Drosophila melanogaster: one gene and its partners. The protein of the gene in region 1 interacts with the protein of each later gene in a pairwise test. Each region holds a gene or a part of one and is shown in the gene's direction. Other genes may lie near its edges.

The links.
Region 2: the proteins of abd-A (region 1) and Doc2 interact in a protein complementation assay, tested with the Drosophila melanogaster proteins (2 studies listed by BioGRID).
Region 3: the proteins of abd-A (region 1) and tsh interact in a protein complementation assay, tested with the Drosophila melanogaster proteins (3 studies listed by BioGRID).
Region 4: the proteins of abd-A (region 1) and exd interact in a protein complementation assay, tested with the Drosophila melanogaster proteins (4 studies listed by BioGRID, with this or other methods).

Annotation. Positions count from the first base shown.
Region 1 is NT_033777.3:16,825,062-16,829,626, reverse strand, and holds the start of abd-A (abdominal A), read left to right. Parts: upstream 1-1,521; 5' UTR 1,522-1,623; coding exon 1,624-2,492; intron 2,493-3,319; coding exon 3,320-3,576; intron 3,577-4,565. UniProt on the Drosophila melanogaster protein: Sequence-specific transcription factor which is part of a developmental regulatory system that provides cells with specific positional identities on the anterior-posterior axis. Required for segmental identity of the second through eighth abdominal segments.
Region 2 is NT_037436.4:9,013,214-9,021,137, reverse strand, and holds the start of Doc2 (Dorsocross2), read left to right. Parts: upstream 1-1,891; 5' UTR 1,892-2,246; coding exon 2,247-2,337; intron 2,338-3,052; coding exon 3,053-3,209; intron 3,210-6,162; coding exon 6,163-6,430; intron 6,431-6,508; coding exon 6,509-6,646; intron 6,647-7,516; coding exon 7,517-7,924.
Region 3 is NT_033779.5:21,827,036-21,831,626, forward strand, and holds the start of tsh (teashirt), read left to right. Parts: upstream 1-1,557; 5' UTR 1,558-2,770; coding exon 2,771-2,823; intron 2,824-4,591. UniProt on the Drosophila melanogaster protein: Homeotic protein that acts downstream of Arm in the Wg cascade during embryogenesis to determine segment identity throughout the entire trunk.
Region 4 is NC_004354.4:15,990,688-15,997,021, forward strand, and holds exd (extradenticle), read left to right. Parts: upstream 1-2,012; 5' UTR 2,013-2,237; intron 2,238-2,248; exon of another isoform or gene 2,249-2,426; intron 2,427-2,784; 5' UTR 2,785-2,821; coding exon 2,822-3,086; intron 3,087-3,277; coding exon 3,278-3,596; intron 3,597-3,659; coding exon 3,660-3,918; intron 3,919-3,997; coding exon 3,998-4,285; 3' UTR 4,286-5,822; downstream 5,823-6,334. Other genes in the region: CG46312 (uncharacterized protein), read right to left, coding at 396-417. UniProt on the Drosophila melanogaster protein: Transcription factor which acts with the selector homeodomain proteins altering the regulation of downstream target genes such as wingless (wg), teashirt (tsh) and decapentaplegic (dpp), thus affecting segmental identity.

The DNA of each region.
Region 1 (4,565 bases):
CAATACGATTCAGTTTCCGATTCGCCGTGTTTATTGTTCCGTTTCGGCCGCCGGCTTATTGTCACTTAAATGTTATAGATCGCGTAAAATATAATAAAATTGTGTGTGAAATTTAAAACCGAAAAAACTGTCAAAACACTATGGTTTATAACTCACTGTGTGCGGTTCGTAAAAATTAAAAAGACATAAAGTTGACATCGTAAAAAGGTTCTCGCCTCTCCGTTCCAGACTTCGATAGTTCTACCTGCAAAGTGTTTTATGACATTTTAAACAAAGTAATTAAAGCAAAACGTTGGGAGAAAGCATTTCTCCGGCCACACACACACTCACGCACTTGAGAAGTCGTTAAAAGCCGCAGGAAACTCACTCTGCCATAAAAATACAAGAGTGCCATTAAAAAAGATCGCGCGCCTATAAATCACACGTACGAAATCCCGCCGGCACGACGTCCATTCGAATTTCCGCGTAATTGATGACCGCATTTTAATTGCTTTTACAACAAATAAAAGATACACACACCCCAAACACACACATGCGACACACACACTTGTGCCACAGCTGCAAATACAACGCAACCCGAGACCATATGCAAATTTAACAAATTTCGTTGTGAATTCGCCAGCTTCGAGCGAAAAAAGTAACAGAAACAGAAAAGCTGCAAATACAAGCTGCTCGCCAAAAGTTCGCTAGAGAAAACTTGAGAAAGGTAACAAAATGCATTTCACTTCTCGGAATCGAGAAAAGTAGCTTAAAGTCGGGCAGCTGGCAAAGTTTCCGAATTCTGTCTCACTAACTCTATCTAAAAAGTACTAACTGTTGGCCATCTCATATAGTACTGTAAAAGTAACCCACATACTAACTCGTTGGCACTGGCAGGGAAATCTAGCTGAAAAATATATAAAGCATTTGGATTATATATTTTTTTCACTTGAGTTCTGTATCATGCTACCCGAAAGATTTATGTTCAATCCAAACATATTCAATTTGGTTAATGTTCTTTTTATGGTTTCCGAGTAATTTTTATAAACATGTTATATTTTTTGTTTTGCCATTTTTAATTCTTGTTTATCACATTGGACGCCAAGTTTATTTTTGTTTTTAGTACCTTTTAATTCGATTAATTTTGTTAGTGATTTATATACTAAGTCCAATGTAGTTTGCATTCGATTATGAAGTAGAAAAGTTAAATACAGAGACGGGAGATGTTCATTAAAGACAAGTAAATTTTAATAGACATTGATACAAATTAAATTGCTGTGTAAATCTTATGAAAAAGTTAAAGAAAAAGATATTTTTAAAATGCTATTTCTCACAGTGTTGAATTATAAAGTCATTCAAGTTTAAGATTTAGGTTGTGCTTACAGAAGTAGTCGGAACTTTTGTTTTATTATGGCTAGAAAGCGCTCCTCTCCACGCTGAATTCAAACAAAATTTGTTAAAGTCACACAAAGAGGAAACTTTAAATTATAAAACGAAATACTCAATCTAGCCATTAACCAAACGACTCAGATAAAGAACCCAAATCATTCGAACTCAGAAATCTCCGAAACTAAAATAGAACAACAAGTGGACTAAACGAAATTCCGAAGATCCGATCCTCGGCCAGAGAGCAAAATATGTGCAATGTCAAAATTTGTTTTCGATAGTATGCTGCCAAAGTATCCACAGTTCCAGCCGTTTATCAGTTCGCACCACTTAACCACCACCCCCCCGAATTCGTCATCTGCAGCAGTTGCCGCCGCCCTAGCCGCCGCCGCCGCCTCTGCATCCGCCAGCGTTTCAGCCAGCAGCAGCAGCAACAACAACAGCAGCAACACGATCGCTGGAAGCAACACAAGCAACACCAACAATAGCAGCAGCAGTCCAAGCAGCAGCAGCAACAACAACAGTAATCTCAATTTGAGCGGAGGATCCCTATCGCCGAGCCATTTGAGCCAACATCTGGGCCAATCGCCCCACTCACCCGTCTCCTCATCGTCGCCCTTCCAGCAGCACCACCCACAGGTGCAGCAGCAACACCTGAACCACCAGCAGCAGCAACATCTGCACCACCAGCAGCAGCAACACCACCACCAATACTCCTCGCTCTCGGCCGCTCTTCAGCTACAGCAGCAACAACACCACATTAGCAAACTAGCCGCCGCCGCAGTTGCCTCGCACGGACACGCCCACCAGCAACTGTTGCTAACGCCCCCGTCAGCGGGCAATTCTCAAGCGGGCGACAGCAGCTGCTCCCCATCGCCCTCGGCATCCGGTAGCTCCTCGCTACACCGCAGCCTCAACGACAACTCTCCCGGGTCCGCATCCGCGTCCGCCTCCGCATCCGCGGCCAGTTCCGTCGCTGCTGCTGCAGCCGCCGCCGCCGCTGCGGCTAGCTCCTCGTTTGCCATCCCCACCAGCAAGATGTATCCGTACGTGTCTAACCACCCTAGCAGCCATGGAGGGCTCTCCGGAATGGCCGGCTTCACCGGACTGGAGGATAAGTCGTGCAGGTAAGATAGATTGCCCTGTTTAAGTATGGGATAATGCAGATTTTTATAAATCGGGATGGGTTTTATGTCCAATCGTAGTAAAATGATCTTAAATGACCCTAATAGGAAGTGCAAATATAAAGTCAATGACAAATGATCTATACTATCTAATATGATATTCAAATATTTGGAGTGCATTGATAGAACTTCTCAGACAGTATCATATTTTAAAATATATGCAAATTTAGTATGACCATTAGCTTTACCTGGCTTCAAAACCTTTAAGAAGATGTTTCCGGGGTTGAAAATACAAAAAAAAAGAAACACTCAGCTCTTCCAAGAACTAATTTCGCGTGCTCTCAATTTGGCGAGCGGAAATGCCAGTCGAGACCTTCAGTAAAATCTGCAAACACTGCAAAACCGCAAATCCGTTTCGAATGCGCTCTAATTATCGGGTCTCGGATCCTGGGACTCTGTCCATTTTCCTCTCGGCCACCGGCCATTCATATTGAATGGCCATAAAGTCGGAAAATTAGAGCAGCCTGTGGTGGCCGCTGGCAATTTGTCGCCGGCCACAAGATTCGCACGCACGCTGACCTTCCGCTGCGGCCATTTGCATATTAGTACTACTGTATGGGCACTCCATGTGCATGTACAGTGAACCCTGCTGTGCGTGGGCGTGTTCGGGATTAGTGTGCAATTAGAGCTAACCGCAGTTTGGTGAAAGGGGCATGCAAATGGCCACCTCATTAGCATTTGACTTTAGTACGGGCGCTGGAGTTGGGAACGTACTATGAGAGCAGGGATCACCAACAATAATGGCTACTTTCTCTCTCCCACACCCACAGCAGGTACACGGACACTGTCATGAACAGCTACCAGTCGATGAGCGTACCTGCCTCGGCATCTGCACAGTTCGCTCAGTTCTATCAACATGCCACAGCCGCCGCATCCGCGGTATCCGCGGCCAGTGCCGGCGCGATCGGCGTGGACTCGCTGGGAAATGCCTGCACACAGCCCGCCTCCGGCGTGATGCCAGGGGCAGGGGGAGCGGGCGGAGCCGGTATCGCCGATCTGCCCAGGTATCCCTGGATGACGCTTACAGGTGAGTCAAAACTCGATACTCGATAGTGCGGAGATATATTATACATAAGTAAAAAAATAACTGCCAGATTCGGACTCTTTGTGAAAGACTTCGGATCTGAATGTGAGTGCCAAATTTGATAAATCTTGAAAGTTATCCGATTTTTAGAATTGAGAATCACACATATCCCAATACAAGTTTATCACACTGAGCCAATCAATCAGTCTTTTAAATTAAGAGTCTGTCTATCGTATCTACTGTGTTCTATATATCATGCCAATCATTATAAAATCAGAAATAATCCGTGCACTTCAGGGAATGTATATCGTCTTAAATCAAGAATAAATTGCCTTCAAGATCTACAAAGCGATCTCTTAAAATTTTTTGTGTACATATAAATCATGGCCACTTACACTGAAATCAAAAAATCAAATAAAAAATTGTAAGAACTTATATTGGATTGAATTATTTAGTCGCTATGTTAGGTTAAATACTATAATTAAAAAATTTAAACAGCTAAGTTGTTTAACAACCCGTAGACTTAAACCAGGTTCGAACTGATTTACAAATTGTATGACCTAACAAAAAGCGTCCAGTCGAATTATCGAATTAAATTTCCCAAGTGTAGTATTTGGAATGGTTGCTGCGTACCTTTTATAAACAATAGATAAACGTGGCGCAAACGTTCCCCAATAGCATTCCCATTTGCACCGCCATTTCGCCTACAATTCCAATTCGTAATGAACACTTTGCGGAGCACTTCCAAGTCGTTTATTTCGCATAAGTCTTCCAGGCGATTCGAATCCGTAAACGAAATGAACGAAGAGCTAAAAAGTTGGCAGTAAATAAAAATGAAAATAGTTTGAGAAATGCTTCTCTTGTCTGTCGTGTTATTTGGCGTCGATTTGTAATTTAAATAGCCTCAAGGTTGCCCCACACCGACAAACGTATAGCCCAAAATGCCGACCAAAAAACACTGCGATGTGCCCCGCGCATACAAAATCCACATA
Region 2 (7,924 bases), on another chromosome or scaffold:
TGCAAACACTACTTGCTCAACTAGCAGTTCTTCGAGTGCATCATTTGCTACCTGTTGGCCCATTTATCCGGAACCGAACGGAAGTAAACCGAAATGCATTAGTCAGACAGCAGGCACAGGGGCAGCACCAATTAGCTGGGTGCTGACAAATTGCACAGCTATTGGCATGGTCTGAAAGGGCAGACCCTTTAGAGGCTCTACAGGATCGATGTCTAATGGTTTGACGAACGTAGTCGAGCTGAAAGACGGCAGAACGGAAAACGCAACCGGAAATGAGCGCGACCAAATGTGAAAACGCGAGGCATAAATTATGGTCAGACGGCGCATACATTCATACGTGGCCAGAACGCAATTTGGGCGAAATGGCCTGCTAATAGTAAATTAATTTCAGACGCTTATCGCCGCCAACTGTGGCTATGGCCATATCCATAGGAAAATAATGCGTGGATGTGTCAGGCCAGCAAAGTGCTGTGTAAATTAGCTCGGCTAACTACATATTTACCCATCGAGAGCCTCAGGAATTTCGCAGTAATGCTGTTCAGATAAGCCAAGCGATTGTCTTAAACTTGAAAGGAAGTGGCACTGGAGGCAAACACGAGACTAGTCGTTGGCAAAAAAAAAAAAAAGAAAACAACACATTAAAAACCGAGCACGTTTCGCCATCGTCGGCCCACATGGCGTATGCTTAACTTCAGTCAAAGTTCAGACCACCTCATTGGGCCTTAATTAGTTTCGAATTTGTTAGCAAGCAGCTCCGACACGCGTTTCCGTCGTTTGAAACAAATGTTTTGCCAAGCTCTCTAAAAGGTCAGATCCACAAACAGTGATCACCTGCATCGCCGGCAATATCTGTAGACTAGACTATAGCCTATAGATATTCGTGTACCAGCAAGTGGAGACGCCATATCGGGCCTTTGGATGCCGCCATATCAATGCCTGAATGACGCAGCGTCAAAGTCGAAATAACATATAATTACACAGAGAAAACTGCATTAAAGTGTTATTCGTTTAATTAAAAAGTAAAGATTATTGTATAATGGGCCCCAATATATTAATTAATTAAACTATTTACCAATTCTTCTCTACTGATAAACTCTAAAATGTGTATAAAAAAAAACTATTGCAACGATGACCAAGCAATTTCATCCAACATCAATCCGCCAACAGGTAAACAAGGTACTTTAAAGTAAGTGATTGGAACTTTTACTGATACTTAGATCAATATCTTATACAATACGCTGCCAAACACACCAAGAGTAAATATTTTTCAATAAAAAACCATCAAATTGCTGTTCAAACAGCATCAATAAATTCTTTTCTCTGTAGTGCGCCGGGTAAAATGTAATAAATGATCAGCAAAACGACAAACACACACGGCTTGGAGAGGCCAGACAAGAGGACCACCATGATGGTGATGGTGATGGCAGCGGCTACAAATGGGCAAAGCATAAATACACAAAAAGATGCCAAAAAGCGGAGACGGAGAAAAAACAATTTCAATCATCATGATCATAATTAAAAGGCAGCCAGCCAGCGCACACACACATAGCGAATGGACCCAGAAGCAACATGTTGCTGCTCCTCCGCTGACTGTGCAACTTCGCACTTCAGAATTAAACGCAATTAGAGCGAGCTGGCACAATGTGAAGAGAGAGAGAGAGAGAGAGTGATAGTCAGCGCTTCGTGGGCGGAGCCATGGCATCTGGAAAATCGAGAGGATTTTTCAAAATGGAGGTGCCAAACCAGAGCGGGACGGCTAGCTCCCGCACTCCGTACACTGCCACAGCCAATCGATGGTGAGCAGCAGGTAATCTCGATCAATGGCTCAAGACGGAAACGAGTCAAGCTCGTTCCATTCAGCTCGATCGAGAGATCGCTCTGCCAGCGGAACTTGCTCAGTTGAAATGCGAACTTGGCGAGCTCAAGACACGACCGTCGCCCAAAGATACAAAAAATTCTCTCAATATATTTGTGGTAAAATAATAACCCACGTACGCGACACCGGGCCTAATCAAATTAACACCCACGCACATGAGAGACTTTTGTGTGCCGTGATTTGCATAATTGACGCTAATCGGCGGCGTCTCGTGCTCGGCTAAAAAGTAAACCCGGGCTCCAAAAAAATAGACACCGCCATATGTTGTGACAGTGCTTTTTGTGTGCTGGGGAACAATTGTGCAAGTGACAAACGCCAAACAAAGAAGTTTCGGGCAAAGATTTAGTACTATTTTTGGACCCAACACATCATGATCACCATGAACGAGCTGGTGGATCTGCGCATGCAGCAGCACATAGCACACGAGATCTATCGCCAGCAGATCATGCAGCGCATACCAGGTAAACTGCTTGCCCCCTTCATATCACTCATCCGCCCCGTTACGCGTGCGGCAAAGCTGTTAGCCATCATTAGCATTAATGGTCGTAACTTTTGGCAAACTGCTTTTGTTTCTGTTACTGTCTCAGCCCACCAAAGTTGGCCAAGATCAGCGGGGTGTGTGCGAGTAGCGGTGTTTATGGCCAGCGGATCATAAAGCTGAGTAATGTGGGAAAGTGATCGCCGATCGAGAAACTTGATATCAAATGCATTTTTCTTGTTGCCGACGGTCGTTAAATTTCGGGATCAGCGTACCCCTAAAACAAAATCGTTGTTTGCCAAAGTATCGCTCCTTATTTTGTGGATACCAGATGGAGGGCATTAAGTTTGGTAATCGGGAAAGAATCGGTGTTCCTCGTTCGCCAAATAAGCGTTTTTATATAACCCCATGTTTGTTCGTTTGTTTTTATGACAAATATGTCAGTCATCATATGGATTTATGCCGTAAGATCTCTTTGGATAAGTCAGAAATGTCACACTTTAATTCAGACCCACGCTCTTAAACTAATGGCGACTATTAAGTTATTTGAATGGGTTTCATTTTAGCCAAATACCATGTTAATATGTTTACATAATTTCAATAATTCTTAATTTTCTTTGTTGAAGACTAAGTAGTTTGTTAGATTGCTTGAGCTTTTGTTAACCTATAAGCCCCCTATTGATTATTGTTCTTTTCAGATCCGTTTCCGCCGATGCTGCCAATTCCGATGCCACGGCACGTGATCATGCCACCTCGAGTCACGTTGCCCGGCGTGGAGATGACCCTGCAGAACGACGATCTATGGAAGCAGTTCCATCAAATTGGCACGGAAATGATCATCACCAAGAGTGGCAGGTAGGTTTAGAACAGAGAGAAAAGATCTTTGATGATGAAAATGATGAAAAACCAAGAGTGGGGGAATCTCGAGATATACAGACTTTAGAGATCGGGAACAAACATAGATGTAGCGATGCATTAGCACGAACATGAAAACTAATACCCCAGACGCAGGGCAAAGAATAATAAACCAGCCAACGGGCGCGGGCACTTAAAGCACCCTATAACGATCCCTAGCCCGATCCCTGGCCCGATCCCGATTCCGATCCGATTCAGTAGAGTCCAGCGAGGATGTGCTGCTGTTAAAGGCTCATTAGATGCAGGCGCCTGCAAATTGTTTACAGCGGCGTCGCGACAACGATTTTCACAGGCAAACAAGGCGGAAGGATGCACTTACGTCGGCAGGATGTGAAAATCGAAAATTGAAAATTGAAAATCGGGAAATGGAAAAGCGGTTGCAGGTTCAGCCAAAATTGATGCGCACTGGACATCGGCTATCGCACGAGGCGTAAAGCGAACAAGTTCGCCGGCACTTTGCGTGCTCAGATCGTAGATAGTACGAATCAAAGGCATAGCGCGATCGCCCGGAGCTAATTTATCGTGTATCTATGAGTATCAGATCAGATGCACGACTACTTGCACAAAGGCGACTACCTAAAAGTGTCCGGCACTTGTTCGAATGTGCGTAAAGTGGCGTCATCGTAATTTATTGTAGACCGACCAACTGGACCGATCGGGCGAGCGCCGAGCTCAGTGGGACGTCCTGTCGGTTCGTCGGCGCTCCTTTATGCCTCGCCTGGCATAAATCTTCGCGTCAAGGATACTTTGTCGTCATCTTTGTAGCTCTTAGCGTTTTTATTGTGGCGCCTGTCTGCGCAGCGAACAACCTGCGGCCCCGAAATATCTTCGCGTTCTGCATTCTATAAGATGCTCGTACATATCTGTATCTTTTGGCAGTGACAGTGACCACAGCTTGTCGACAGATACGAGCAATTTCACACTTGCCCTCAGTTCGAGCCGATCAAAAAGGGTTCCCAAACGCATTAACATAAACTTTTGGTCTCGAAATGCATTGAATGAATACACTTCGAGCCACGAACAACCCTTTTGTTTTATATATGCCATGAATTATTCATATAGTCTGCGTATTAAATACTTTTTATGCTCATCAAAAATGTTTTATGGGCATCGGTGGAGAGGTCGCGATGCAATCGATTTGAATTTTTAATGATTAGGCGCCAGAGTGCCACCGTCTGTCCAATCGCATCCCAATCCCCGTTTCATTTCCCATACGGATACGATCCCAAGTCCAAAACCTATGCCTATGCCAAGTGGCGCTCATAAAAACTAATTAGTTGCTTGTCTGGGCTCCGCTTGCCACTTGAACCGTTCCATCTTTTTGGGTGGTAAAAGCGCAGACGGCCATTAAAGTTAGATAGAACAAACCGTATCGCTTAATGTCTGATACTGGCGGCAAATGAAATGACTTTGTCACGATGCTTTTAGACTGTGTGGGCTCCTCCACTCACCAAGAGAGGCGGTAAACAGAAGCGACACGGTAACTTCGATGAGAAGCGCAAATATACCCAGAATTTTCAATTGGATTCAAACTTTTAGTTGCAGAAAGAAAAAAAGAAAATATTTTACCCTTTCTCTAATAAGAAATGTTATTCCTAGTAGACTCATTCAAAACTGGCTTACGATCTGAAGAGTTCAAAATTTATGTCGTTTGCTTCCAGTTTTATAGCTGTCAATTAATAAATAGTCTCACTCTTAATTTCCTAAATATGCTAATTCTGGGAATATCAAGCAGCTATTTATATGGAATTGTAGGGTAAACATTGGAGTGAGCTCTGGATATTTCCAGAGTACCCTTCGGGAGTCCGAGATCCGATGCTCCGTCGCATTCCTGGCTTGTGTCCCTGCACCTGCGAAGCGTCAAGCGCCAAGTCGAATGCCGTCAAGTGGTCAGCATGCTCCTTACTCGCAGTAGAAAATTCCACTGGTAATTATGCGCAGACGCGCCAAAGATATCGATCTTAACAAATCGTTTGTCCAAATCCAGACAGCGGACTCTTGCCAAAAAAATAAAGAAAAAAAAAAACAATAAACAAAAACTGAGAGCAAGCAAATTGAAAATGAAATTCTAAACCGCACAAATGTCGAAATATTTCGGTGCCGTGCTCTAATGGAATTCAACGGAGCTGAAAAGGCAGACCCGAAGCCAGAATCAAATTAAATGTTAGCAAACCGAGGCTCTGTGGATTTCAATTAATTAATCATCGGTTGAGGGAAACACGAAATCATTGCCAAAAACAAGAAACCATTCGAGGATGAGGACGCTGTTGAGGATGAGGACGAAGGGCAAACATTTTTCGGCCAGGCGCCAAGTGCCGTGACCACCTGCTGTTCCTGCGGCAGCGACTTGGAGTTGAAGGCGAGGGTCAGGGCCTCGCATCCTTGTTAGCACAGGGAAAACGGCCCCTACTCCACCGGGCAATCTCTATTTGACCAGTCCTAATTACATGGCGCATGGAAGGGAAATCTCACAATTAAATATTTGTAACGCCCACGCTGGAACCGGGAATGGGCTCCTTTTGTCGTTCTAGCATGACTATATTTGAGTTTGTTCGGTAAACAAAGGCTCTAAGGTTTTCCAGGCGTTTTCCTGGACTTCCCCCGCTCATCTGACACAGAGGAAAATGTTGTAGGAAAGCAGTATACCAACGATTTGGTAATATTTATAAGGGAAATATCTGTAAGATAACTCTCATGTCTAATATGGTATATACAAAAGGTTATGCTAGGTTTTATAACAACTTTGAAATTAGCCATTTATCAAATAGTAAAATATACCATATAATTATGATATTAAAGTCTTATTTGTATTAATAATATAATGAAAAATGATTTTGTCTTATATAATAAGAGACTGATTAAACTAATAAGATGCTTTTCCTTTCCCCTAAAGACGCATGTTCCCCTCGATGCGACTAAGTGTTTCCGGCTTGGAGGACGAGAGCAACTATTGCGTGCTCCTCGAGATGGTACCCATTGGCGACTGCCGCTACAAGTTCTCCGGCTCCCAGTGGGTTCCAGCCGGAGGAGCCGAGCCGCAAAGTCCCCAGCGGATGTACCTGCATCCGGACAGTCCGGCCACCGGTGCCCATTGGCAGGCGCAGCCCATACTGTTCAATAAGGTCAAGTTGACCAATAACACGCTGGATAACAGCGGCCATGTAAGTGCGGCCAGGGCTTTGAAGTCGTCTCCAGTTACTAATCCAAGTCCAAACCCCTTTCGCCATCCCCATTCGCAGATTGTCCTGGCCAGCATGCACAAGTATCAGCCGCGTCTGCACGTCATACGCACCGCTGATCTGGCGCAGATTCCCTGGGCCCCACAACAGGCCTTTGTGTTCGCCGAGACGGAGTTCGTGGCCGTGACAGCCTACCAGGTAAGTGGTGTGCCATCCCCATCCCTACTCCGTTTACCCTCTCAATGGGCGCCATCATTTTGGTAATGAGTCTAGCTCAATGTCTAATTAGTACTCTCAAATAAAATATATATCTTTGCCACACGATGAGAATCCCTTCTAGTTCAAAATCACCTCATGGTATCCTATCTTTGATTAATTCACATGTTATTCACAGACTTATCCAAGGTTGTCTAAAATCGCACTATTAGGTATTTAACAAAAATGTTTCGTCCAAGAGTATTCGAGTCATGTGTCCTCGAAGTTAGCCTTCCTACTTGTGTGTGCATTTTTTTTTTTGCCAATTCATTGAGCAAAGAGACTGGAAACGATCACACTAATTGGTTAATTTTGGGCAAACGAGCGGCGATCGCTCACGCCGTGGGTAGCTTGGTCAACGTCTCGAATTAGCATGGAACGCCTCCGTGGATCGTGTAGTTGGTGGGCAGGGCAGGCAGAAAGTCAGCGGGTCGGATTGTTGTTTTAGGAAGTTGGATAGCCACATCCTTGTAAATTTGAGCGCCTCGCTGTGTTTTTGTCTAGGTCTAGGCCCATTGACAGCCGACGCCAGTCTGCCTCTAATTAGCAAGATCGCCGAGAGATCGGAGATTCGGTTTGAGAAAGATCCGAAAGATCACAATGTTGTCAAGTCATCTGGAGTGGAACTGAGCACCGAGAACTGGAAACGCAGTCTGGTGTCAAGTGGCCATGTTACTTAACGCCAGCTACTGGACGCCAGTGACTTATGTGATGAGTCTTCTTCTCCTTCTCCATCTCCATCTCCCCGTTGCCCAAGATTATGCTGGCGGCAATCGTCATATTTCACGCTCGTCTTGTTGCCTTCTTCCGCAGAACGATCGCATCACCAAGCTGAAGATCGACAACAATCCGTTTGCCAAGGGCTTCCGCGAAACGGGACAATCGCGCTGCAAACGCAAGATGTCTTCATCGCCAACGGGCGAGGATCAAGATCAGTCGCCGTCACTATCCCATTCTCAGTCCCAATCCGAGTCTGACATGTCGCCAACGAAAGGAGGCGGTGAGACAGCCGGAGGAACATCGTCGATCGGCGATTCGGATGGTCCGCAAATCAAGCGCCTGAGATCAAATGGCTCAGCCTGCTCCTTATCATCATCGCTGGACGATCAGTCGGTGCCTGGCGCCAGTTCTTTGGCCCTGGGCTCTCCACCGCCCCATCTACATTCGCATTCGCATCCGCATCCCCTCCAGGCGAGGAGTGCCTCCAGCGTTTTTATGCAG
Region 3 (4,591 bases), on another chromosome or scaffold:
GGTGAACCTTTTCTTAACCGATTTGCTTCTGCCATTCGGATCATTATTCTGTTGGAATTTCCATTTTAAGGGCATATTATAATAAGAATATGACAGTAAGACATCCCTTAGTATATTTACACATGCGTTTTGGTCTATAATACCATAAATCATATGTTATGGACTCATACCATTGTAAAAAATAAACAAGCCCATACCAGTATTGCAGGTCCACCGTGATTGAAAGTCTTCAGTGGGTGTTTTGGGTGGTACTCGGTGTTTGGAGGTCGTCAGATATAACCATATGAACCAGTTCCACCAAATAGCACTATTTTTAACACATCAGTCCAGGGGATATTACGCCATTTGGAGACTGGCCAGTTTAGGTGGGTTTTAGCGAAGTTTAACCTTGGCTTAAAATGCCTTGGGCTAAGTAGGGGCACCTTTCGTGGACTCCTCGCAACTAAATTTTGATTCAGTAGTCGTCTCCGTAAATATGCATAGGAATCAAGGCAATGCTCGGTTACCGGTTGATAATTTTATAGAATAATGTATATAATGTTTTATAATGTAATGTATTATAATGTATCGAAAGTTACTATTTTATACGTTTGTCAATTTATGTGAAAAAGTACATGCAATATATAAACTTAAGGTAACCAGGGTCGGCACAAAGAAAAATATTGTAGATGCACTTATTAGACGTGATCTTGAGTATTAATGATACTAGTATTTAAATAGTATTCAATGCTGTCATCTTTTAGACTGTATAAAGGCACTTATTAAACCAAATTTGTACTTCATTCGGCTTTATACTTTCATATGTACATCAATGTTCTTACACAGCCTTACATTCACGCATTCACAAACATTGACACCTTGCCATGAAAACTAATAAAATCGCGGCATTTTGGCACATTTTCAGAGGAAAGAACGGCCGGAGTGTCGCTAATTCAATTGTTTTCGCAGCCAAAAAGAAAAGTGGAATGGGTTGATTTCAAGTGAAAATTGCCCCAAACCACTTTTCCACTTTTTCACTCTCCTACTCGCTCGCACAGCAATGCAACGAAACAAAAGAAGCGAGATCCACGAAGAAGCTGCAGAAAGGCGAACAAAAGTTGACAGCAGAGGGTATGAAGGAAGGTGAGCGAGAGGGAAGAGGCTAAAAGTGACGAGGGCGAAAAGCTCAGAGAGCAACAACTACTGTTTATTTTGAAAAGAAATAAAAACAGAGCAGGGACCGACACAGTTTGAGTGGCTGCGAGCAGGACGGCGCATGCGAGTGAGAGCATTTTTGTTAAACTGTCATAAATCTTAATTGTGATGGAATCGGATTCGGAATAGGACAAAAGAAGGGTGACGAAACGACAAAACAGATTTCACACACTTTCGGAGCAAGCGAGACGGAGCGGTCCCACAACGCTATCTCTTTCCCTAGCGATTTCCCCTGTTTCAGTTCCAAGCGTTCACTTGCCAGCACAGGGGAAAGTCTGCGCTCTTGTCGCTCTCTCTCTCTCTTCTCTCTCGCGCTCTCTTTTGGCTACCCATCGGTTTCGGGTTCTTTTCGCCAAGAGTCAGTCAGTCGACAAGAAACCGTTACTGCGTACGATCGTGCGAAAAAGCTCGGCGCACTTGGAAAAATCGTACGGTAATTAGTTAGCCGAGTGCCGGCGAGTGCGAGCGAGAGAGTAGCACATTTAATCACGCTGACAGCCAGCTTGTCCTGCAAGGGTGTGGGTGGCACACACGGCACACACAACACACACACAAGTGCGCAGCCGTCGCCAGAACGCAAAATCGAATCAGAAATTGCCGTCGCCAAAACGCGGGCTTCGTGTTTGCTCGTCAACAGCAGCGCAGCTTCCAATCGCTGCGCGTCCGTCGCGTCGCTTCATTTTTTCATCCGTATCAATCAGTGAAGGCAGAGCAGCAGCGCCCCGTTGTTGTTGTTTGTCAGCTTGACAGCGACGGCAGCGCAGCAGCAGCGCACCGGCAGAGCACCGCAGCAGAGGCTAGTGACGAAGGAACCCGGCCAGCGGGATTCAATCGCCTTTGGACTTTCGTTCGAGTAGTGACGACGAATCCGGATGAGAAGACGCACGCATCGCGACCCGCGGTTCCGCCAGAACAGTGAATTCTCAGTTTAAAACGCGTTTTTGGGGGAGGATAGAACGAGTGTTTTCCAGGCCGCCATCATATCTAGTCAAAGAAGCAGAGGTTTGATACTCTCGAACGCAAATGCTCGATCAAGACTGAAACATACGAGAAACATACAACTACAAATGGTTCAACAAAGTATACGTAAAACTACCACAAGCTAAACAAAATATACCACAAAAATATATTTATTACCAAAACTAAAGATAAACTATTGCAAATATTTACATTAAACGGTATTTAATTCACCAAAATTACACTACATACATAATGTAAAGCCAGTTACTTAAATCAACAAACCTTAACGAAGTATACGATTCAATGCAATTAATAAATTAAATTTAAATCAACACAAATTAGGAATTAAAAATACAAACGCCTCGAAACGTCATTTTTTGTCTGACATACGAAAGTTTATAAATTACAAAATCCAAAAAATATAAATTAATCAGTTATACGCTGCAACAACAACAAGTTATACTACAACGTACCAAGTGCAAAACAATAGATTATATGATCATTGTGTCAAACTAAAGTTAAGTTCCAAAATCCAACTAAAATCCTCGTTGTTTGCTCCAAAAAGAGCAAACCATCCAAGTTCCAGCAAACCGTCAAAATTCAGCAAAATTTAAAAATGTTACACGAGGCTCTGATGCTCGAGATCTACAGACAGGCGCTAAATGCCGGGTAAGTGTTATATGGAAGATTATTTCCATAGAACAGTGAAAGATGTAGAATTAAGAAAAAGATTCACATGGCCTTATTCGGGGGATTCAAAAATGTGACTACTCTGGGTATGAAGGATAAACGAACTGAGATTTTACTACCAAAGTGCATCAAAGTGTTTTTCATTATGAAATAGTGAAATATTGAATTCTTAACTAAAAGTGGCCATACTCAAAATATTCACATATAAAATAATTACATTCATCTCATTCAGTTAATATTATTTTTTTGCAATTGCTTTTTATGTGCGTTCAAGTATCTGGTTAAATAGAATATTATATATACCAAGTATATACGACATATATTGAATATAGAACGTTTTCAATCAAAATCAAAAACCATTGTCATTGTGAACTGATAGCCGAACTTGTTGAAATAGTATTGCAGACTCTCAACCACAAATCGGCCAAATAAATATATCAAGAAACTATGATTTCATGGCATTTGATGATTGGCATTGGCGGTTCGGCGTAGTCGCACACCTGTCGTTATAAATTCAGCGCCTCGCCAATAGCGCGCCCATATATCACAACACCCACCCGCAGAACCAAGAGTACTGAGTTCACGACTACGAGTCCAGACCCTCGGATCGGGAAAAGCAGAACTTGATTTGAAAAGGGTGGCTGGCAGGGGAAATCCGAAAATAACAGAAAAATCGCCATAGTTCGATGATGGGATACTAACTTGGGGTAAGCGTTTGTGTATCTGTATCTGGGTTTCTCTGAAATTATGATTAAACAAGTTCAAGATATTTTTCGAACTCGCTCTCGAACAGTCACTCGAGTGAGCCTGAGTCTGAGCAAATTAACTGAAGGCTAAAAACGGGTTTTATGACACTATATTTGCGGGGGCGAGGGTATTCGGGGGTGCATCTGGAGTATTAATAATAAAGTGCGACAAATTGTCTCGCTCTCGTTTGATTTGCATGCAGATACACACGAATTTTCAAGATTTTCCAAGGCGATGACGTAGTCGAATTGAATAAATCATGCGAAAAAGTGAAAAACTCAAAATACGCTACGCTCTGCTTGCCATCTTTTCCATTCTCCACCCCCTCCAATTTCCCCGTGTGCGCCTATTACCGGAGAGATTTATGTTCACAATTTGCCGCTGGCGTGTGCGTGTGCGTGTGGCTGTATCTCCGGGTGCATGTGTATGTTTAGTAATATTTACTCTGCTACCTTAACGGATTTGTCGTGCCTTAGATTTGCTTTAACAGGGACAGTGTGTTGTATTCGGCACAAATAGATATACTGTTATTAATAACCTTCATTTCGCAGTATATAGTAAAAATATACTAGGGAATAAACATTTTAAACAATAATTCTACTATAAAAAAATTCAGATCGGTCAACTCATATTTATTTATATTCTCACCTGAGGTCCAACCAACTCTCCCATATCACACCAATGGGTGTACTCCCACTATTTTAGTTAGCCTGAGCGTTACGGGTGCATATCAATATGCAACTCTCTCGATTATTAATGAGACATTTCAACTTGTAATTAACTGCACTTGCTGGAGTTGCGTATAAATCATTTTGATTTAAGCCTAATCGAATAACGAGATTTCAGATTATGATATGCTGGCGGAGAAAACTCGTTGCCAAGTATTTTATACTAGTCAAGCAAAATAATGGAGAAACGAGCCGCTAAATGGGTTGTTTGCGGGCTCAATCGCCCCTTGCAATCTGGATAGCTAATTAGCGGTGAGTGATTGCGCGGTGTG
Region 4 (6,334 bases), on another chromosome or scaffold:
CTATGCATTTATTTATACGAAGTCTAAATCTTAATAGGTTTATATCTTATATAAACATATGCCATAATTCAGAAGATAAAGCATAATAAGCCACACAAATAAAATAAGAGAATGCAGTTGAATTCGCTGGATAACTTCTTTTTGCCTTTTACTTGTATCGCAATAGAAGTTTCTGGAATTCCTTTTTCAGAAACCATTGTATCCTTGCTTTTTTTTCGGTTGTGGGAGAAGGAAATGTGTTGGCTGCTTATTTTTAAGCTTATTTTTAATGTTAAAGTAACCTTGGATGGATCCGGATCTTGGTTAGTAGTAAGACATTATACAGTGGTCGGGATAAATATGTGTCTTAGATACAAATCGATTCAATGGGTTGTTGATGATTAACTATTACTTACCACCGTATCTTTCAAAAGTCATATAAGATTTTGTTTCCCCTCCTTTGGGGTGCGCAATGCCAGTTCGCAAATTAGACAAAGATATCGTACTCTCGGGTATTCTTTGTGAAGTCAATCGCAAATTGACTTGGAAAATATATATGGATAAATCAAAATCAAACAAATCGCACTGCCACGGGAAATCGATAACTTTTTTTTTTTTTGATAGCTCTGATTCCGTGCTAATATTGAAAAATATTAGTAACGCTTTTAACGCGCTTATGTATCGCAAAAATTGAAATTTTTGGTCTCTCAACTATTCTGCAAAGGGAAAGAAAATAAAATTAGGAATGCGCATGAACGAACATATGTATACCACTCCGTACTAAGTATTTCTTACATTACTTTAGTTTAGCTCAAATTTACTTATAATTTCGAAGGAAAAAGGTTAATTTAACATTCAAGTATATATATATTTTACATATATATCTTTTCCTATTACTTATGTATTCAGTACTTTTGTATAATGGCCATAAAAAACACTGTTGAAGCGTGATTTTTGTGTAAGCACGAAGTAAAGTAGCTTTATGCAGATATACACTAGACCCAACGTTACAAAAATTGTGGAAAACTGAATTATTTAGTATAGATATATATAAATGTACATTTTCATGCACGTATGCATTTACATATGGATGAAAGCCACGCCATTTAAACTTTTGAGGTTGTGTTCGTTTTGGTCACAATCACTTTTCAATACCTTTTCCACAAGTTTTCTATAAAGCGTTTCTGATCACAATGAAAGTAAATTAATAATTTTACTGAATTAACCGTTTAAGAAAAGATTTTCTCCGAAGTCCACGAACATACGACTAAACGTCACAGCACAATATGACCATAACGACTTTAGTGGGCTGCAGCCTATCACTATCGATTGGCCGAATATGATGTGAATGAATTTTAGCCTTTTCACACTTTCACTTTTATATAATTTATATGGTATTTATTAAAATGAAGATATGTAATAATACGCTTAAAAACGAAAGACCATTTTTAAAAATGAAGTTGACTAAAATAGAAACAAATATATGTGTTATATAATTAAACGTAGTTCCAATCAGCCTTTTAAAATATATGTTATAAGAGTGGATCATCTGTATTTCTTCTATATTCCAATACCAATATACCACATTTTTTGTAGAGGATATCTTATTTATTTTATTGAAAAAATGTTTAAAATATTATTTCAAGAGCCACATTTTAAATAGTATCGATACCCAACTCGCAGTGAGTAAGCACTAGAATGTAACTACGGGTAAGATATCGATTGTCCACGTTTTCACTAGCAAATATAAATTGCATTTTATGGAATACTTATCGATATTCTTACAGTACTGGAAAACTTTTTCATATCGATTTATTTTTCTGCGTATACAGAACGTACTTTCGTTTCATTGTTGTCCAAAAAAGATAATAATATTATATACTTGCGGTTATTTACAACTGCAAGTAATGTGTCACTAATTTTTAGTGAAAATAACACAAAATACGACTTGTACGGCAAATAAGTATACGAGGCAATCACGATAAATAAAAAACCGTGAGTATGGAATTTCAAGTGGACGCTTCTCAATACTTACATGCACATATATCGATGTGTGGATATGTACATACACCTTGTTATAAACAGTTTAAATCTTTTCTGACGTAATAAAATCTCAAGAATGTACATGTAAAACCAACAAAATGTTTTCAAACTGCATTCAAATTAATGCTTAACCATAACCTTGTGTGTATGTAAATATAAACTTGGCAGGTTGATTTTTTTTTACCATTCTGCTGGCACTAAACATACGTACAAGTGTATGTATGTGATGCACTCGGCGTCATTTATCTGTACATGTGTAAAATGTAACGTTACCTGTGGTACACAGCAATAAATAAATAGAAATAAGTTCATAAATAGTTCGGGTAACTGCCCAGCTTCGTGCTACGCATCTGAGATACTTTTTCACCCCCAAAAAGATATGCCGCTTCATGAGATTGCGACAGGTGGAGATTATTGCATTTCCAATAGGATACCAAAATGTCTTTTCACTTTTGCTCAAATGTCTGGGGGATTATTTTGTGGTGGGGTTTGTGGGTTTAATGGCTTTGTTGGTATCTCTTCTATAGATATGATGAATTTTGTAGCAAAAGATTTAATTGGTGTATTTGTTTTCAGTTTGTTAAGTATACATTAACTCAAGTTTTTACTACATTTTTAAGGGTTTCAAACTTATGTTTTTATATAAAAAAGAAATATTTATTAAATAATAAAACACTAAAAAATCGAATTGGTAGAAAAAATATTGGGTTATTTCCTTTTTTCTTGCATGATTTTAATATTTGATGTTTAATATTATTACAGAAACTTGGATTTGTAGCTTGCTTTGTGTTGCGGCACCATGGAGGACCCCAATCGCATGTTGGCCCACACCGGCGGCATGATGGCTCCGCAAGGATACGGCTTGTCTGGCCAGGATGATGGCCAGAATGCCGGCAGCGAGAACGAGGTGCGCAAGCAGAAGGACATCGGCGAGATATTGCAACAGATAATGAGTATCTCGGAGCAATCACTTGACGAGGCCCAGGCCAGAAAACATACACTAAACTGTCACCGAATGAAGCCGGCACTTTTCTCTGTACTTTGCGAAATCAAGGAGAAGACCGGTAAGCTTAAAACCCTATATTTATCTCTCATTCAAGACCATCAAATAAGTTGAAATGGTATTATGGATTTTGTGATTTGCTTGTGATACAATTGATTTACTAAATCAAACACAATTCTTAACGTAATAGTCTTAAAACGTTCAGTATGAAATTATTTTTATCATTCGTCTTCTTCGTTAAAACTATTACAGTCCTCTCGATTCGCAACACCCAGGAGGAGGAGCCCCCAGATCCGCAACTGATGCGCTTGGACAACATGCTGATTGCCGAGGGCGTGGCCGGACCCGAGAAGGGCGGTGGCGGAGCAGCGGCTGCCTCTGCGGCTGCGGCCAGCCAGGGCGGTTCCCTGTCCATCGATGGTGCTGACAATGCCATTGAGCATTCCGACTACCGTGCCAAGCTGGCACAGATCCGTCAAATATATCACCAGGAATTGGAGAAGTACGAGCAGGCATGCAACGAGTTCACCACGCATGTCATGAATCTTCTACGCGAACAGAGTCGCACGAGGTTGGTGTATATAGATAAATGCAAAATGATGGCCATCATTTGGGTAATATAATCGTATTTCAGACCCATTACACCAAAGGAAATCGAGCGAATGGTGCAGATCATCCACAAAAAGTTTAGTTCCATACAAATGCAGCTGAAGCAGTCGACCTGCGAGGCTGTAATGATACTTCGTTCGCGTTTCCTGGACGCACGCCGCAAACGCCGCAATTTCAGCAAGCAGGCATCCGAGATTCTCAACGAGTACTTCTACAGTCACTTGAGCAACCCATATCCATCCGAAGAGGCCAAAGAGGAGTTGGCACGAAAGTGTGGCATCACGGTAAGTAGTGTAGGGCACATTAATCAACAATGCAAATCCGATTGCAGCATAGTAAATAAAACAAAACACACTCATGCAGGTCTCGCAAGTATCGAATTGGTTTGGCAACAAGCGTATTCGCTATAAGAAGAACATTGGTAAGGCACAGGAGGAGGCCAATTTGTATGCGGCCAAGAAGGCGGCTGGTGCTTCACCGTATTCCATGGCCGGTCCACCCAGCGGGACAACCACACCCATGATGTCACCCGCTCCGCCACAGGATTCCATGGGCTATCCAATGGGCTCCGGCGGATACGACCAGCAGCAACCGTACGACAACAGCATGGGCGGCTACGACCCAAATCTCCATCAGGATCTAAGCCCCTGAGGATCAGGGCTGTGAACCACTCCCAGTCCGGAGAATCCCTCATACAGTTGCGGTCAAAATAACTGCGCTGAAAAATCTAACATGCAGTTTTTTCATAATTATGCGGCTTATATTTGCTTCTTCGCCAAGAACAACAATTCTTAAGGGATTTTTAAATTCAGCTTTCTGTCCTTTGGTTTCGAGTCAGATAAGTTTAAAATTCCCATCAATTTAGATATAGTTCCGATAGATATACATAAATACGTGAGTAGAATATAAATACGTAATAGTTAGTTTGTGCTTGCTACATTTTGGTTGGCAGAAAAAACTTTGCCTGCTTAAATCAAAAAAGAAAGTAAATAAGCTGATATGGTTTTTTAATTGACACAGTCTCCTGCTTTTTAACAATATATGCATGCAGGATGTATTAAGAAGTCGACAATTGAATAATGGCCTAATTAAGAATATTTTTTGCCCGAACATAAAACGAAAAGTTTGCTCGCTTTTTTTTTTTAATTCACAATCAATTGAAATGGAAAGCATGTTGTTTGTGGCATGTCAACTGTAAAATACATAAATACGTAATAATTCGCTTAAGCGATTATAATTTGATCAACGTTCTTTAAAAAGGGTTAATAACCAATGCAGTGACTTTTTCTGCATAGCCCCATTTAGCTTATATATTAACCATCGAAAACATATGCAAAGAAACTCGATTAAACTGGTAGTATACGAATATTTTCACAACGAGTGGAGGAGGCACAAGTTTCAGAGCTATTATTTTGACCGCAGCTGTGTATAAATATATTTTAATACATTTACCTACATTTGCGGGTATATACAAATATTGCATGTAAATCATACTATGACGATTCTTTTTTGGCTACAGTACGTATACGACAGCAAAATAGTGTTTACTGAATTTAAAACTGTACGAAATTTTTAAAAACTTGAACAATACGAAAATACGAAACTAAACCATGTATACGATGTATATCAAATAAATAAATAATACATGTTGTTGTTATCCGCACACACGTCAACTAATTACAAAAATATTTTGAATGTAAAAACGGAAAAGAAAAGTCTTGGATAAACAAAATGTCACATTTCTATCGAAGGACGAATTGTATTATTTAACAGCTTATAACATTTAATAGATTTATTAACGTGTATTTTAAAAGTCTCAAAACAATTGTTTGTTTCTTACATCCTAAAAAGTATTAAACATTAAATCTTAATGGATTTCTTGCTATAAAAACGAACTTCCCAACTTAATTGCATTATAAAATCAAGAACAAATTCGTCTTTCGCTTAGTAAGAAGTGTACACTACTCTTTGCCCCCAATTAAAACGGATATGAAAACAGATTATTTGAAAGTATACAAAACGATTATAATTTTAAATGATAAATAACATATGTCTTTGACAGACTTTCGCTCACATTACGGTCAAATGAAACCATTCAATGTATTTCAGTAAGTAAGGTACTGCATTAAACATTTTGGATAACAATAGAAAAATATATAAATACACAACTTTACACAAATAACTTAATAAATCAAAACGAAGTATTAATTAATGGTTTTTTGGGAGTATTAAAGAAAAGGGCGTTATCCTTTGCAGATAATCTATACACGTAATAGAAAGAGATGGAGCATCTGTAGATACACTTGCTCTTCTTTAATTAAAACTATCTGGCTCACAGATAGAAATCATTCTTTTATGTGGGGTTGGTCAATAAAAACAGAAGAATTTTAATTTTTTAGATTTTTGGCAGCTGTAAAACAGACAAAAAATTTTAATTTTAGGCGTATTTTATTTTTATTATGGTTCATTACGGCTTAATGTACTTCACCCCACATCTTACAGTTATTCCCAAAAGTGTGTAGTAATTTATATAAATCACTTTGATCGACCAATTTTAAATTTATAAATAATAAAGTAGAAATTTTAAAAAAATTCACCCGCTGCCCCAATGCATTCCACAATTTAAGAACACGTTCCACTTATCTAGCACTCAATCGCCGCTACCTTGACGCGCATGCTGGCACTGCCCGGAATACTTTG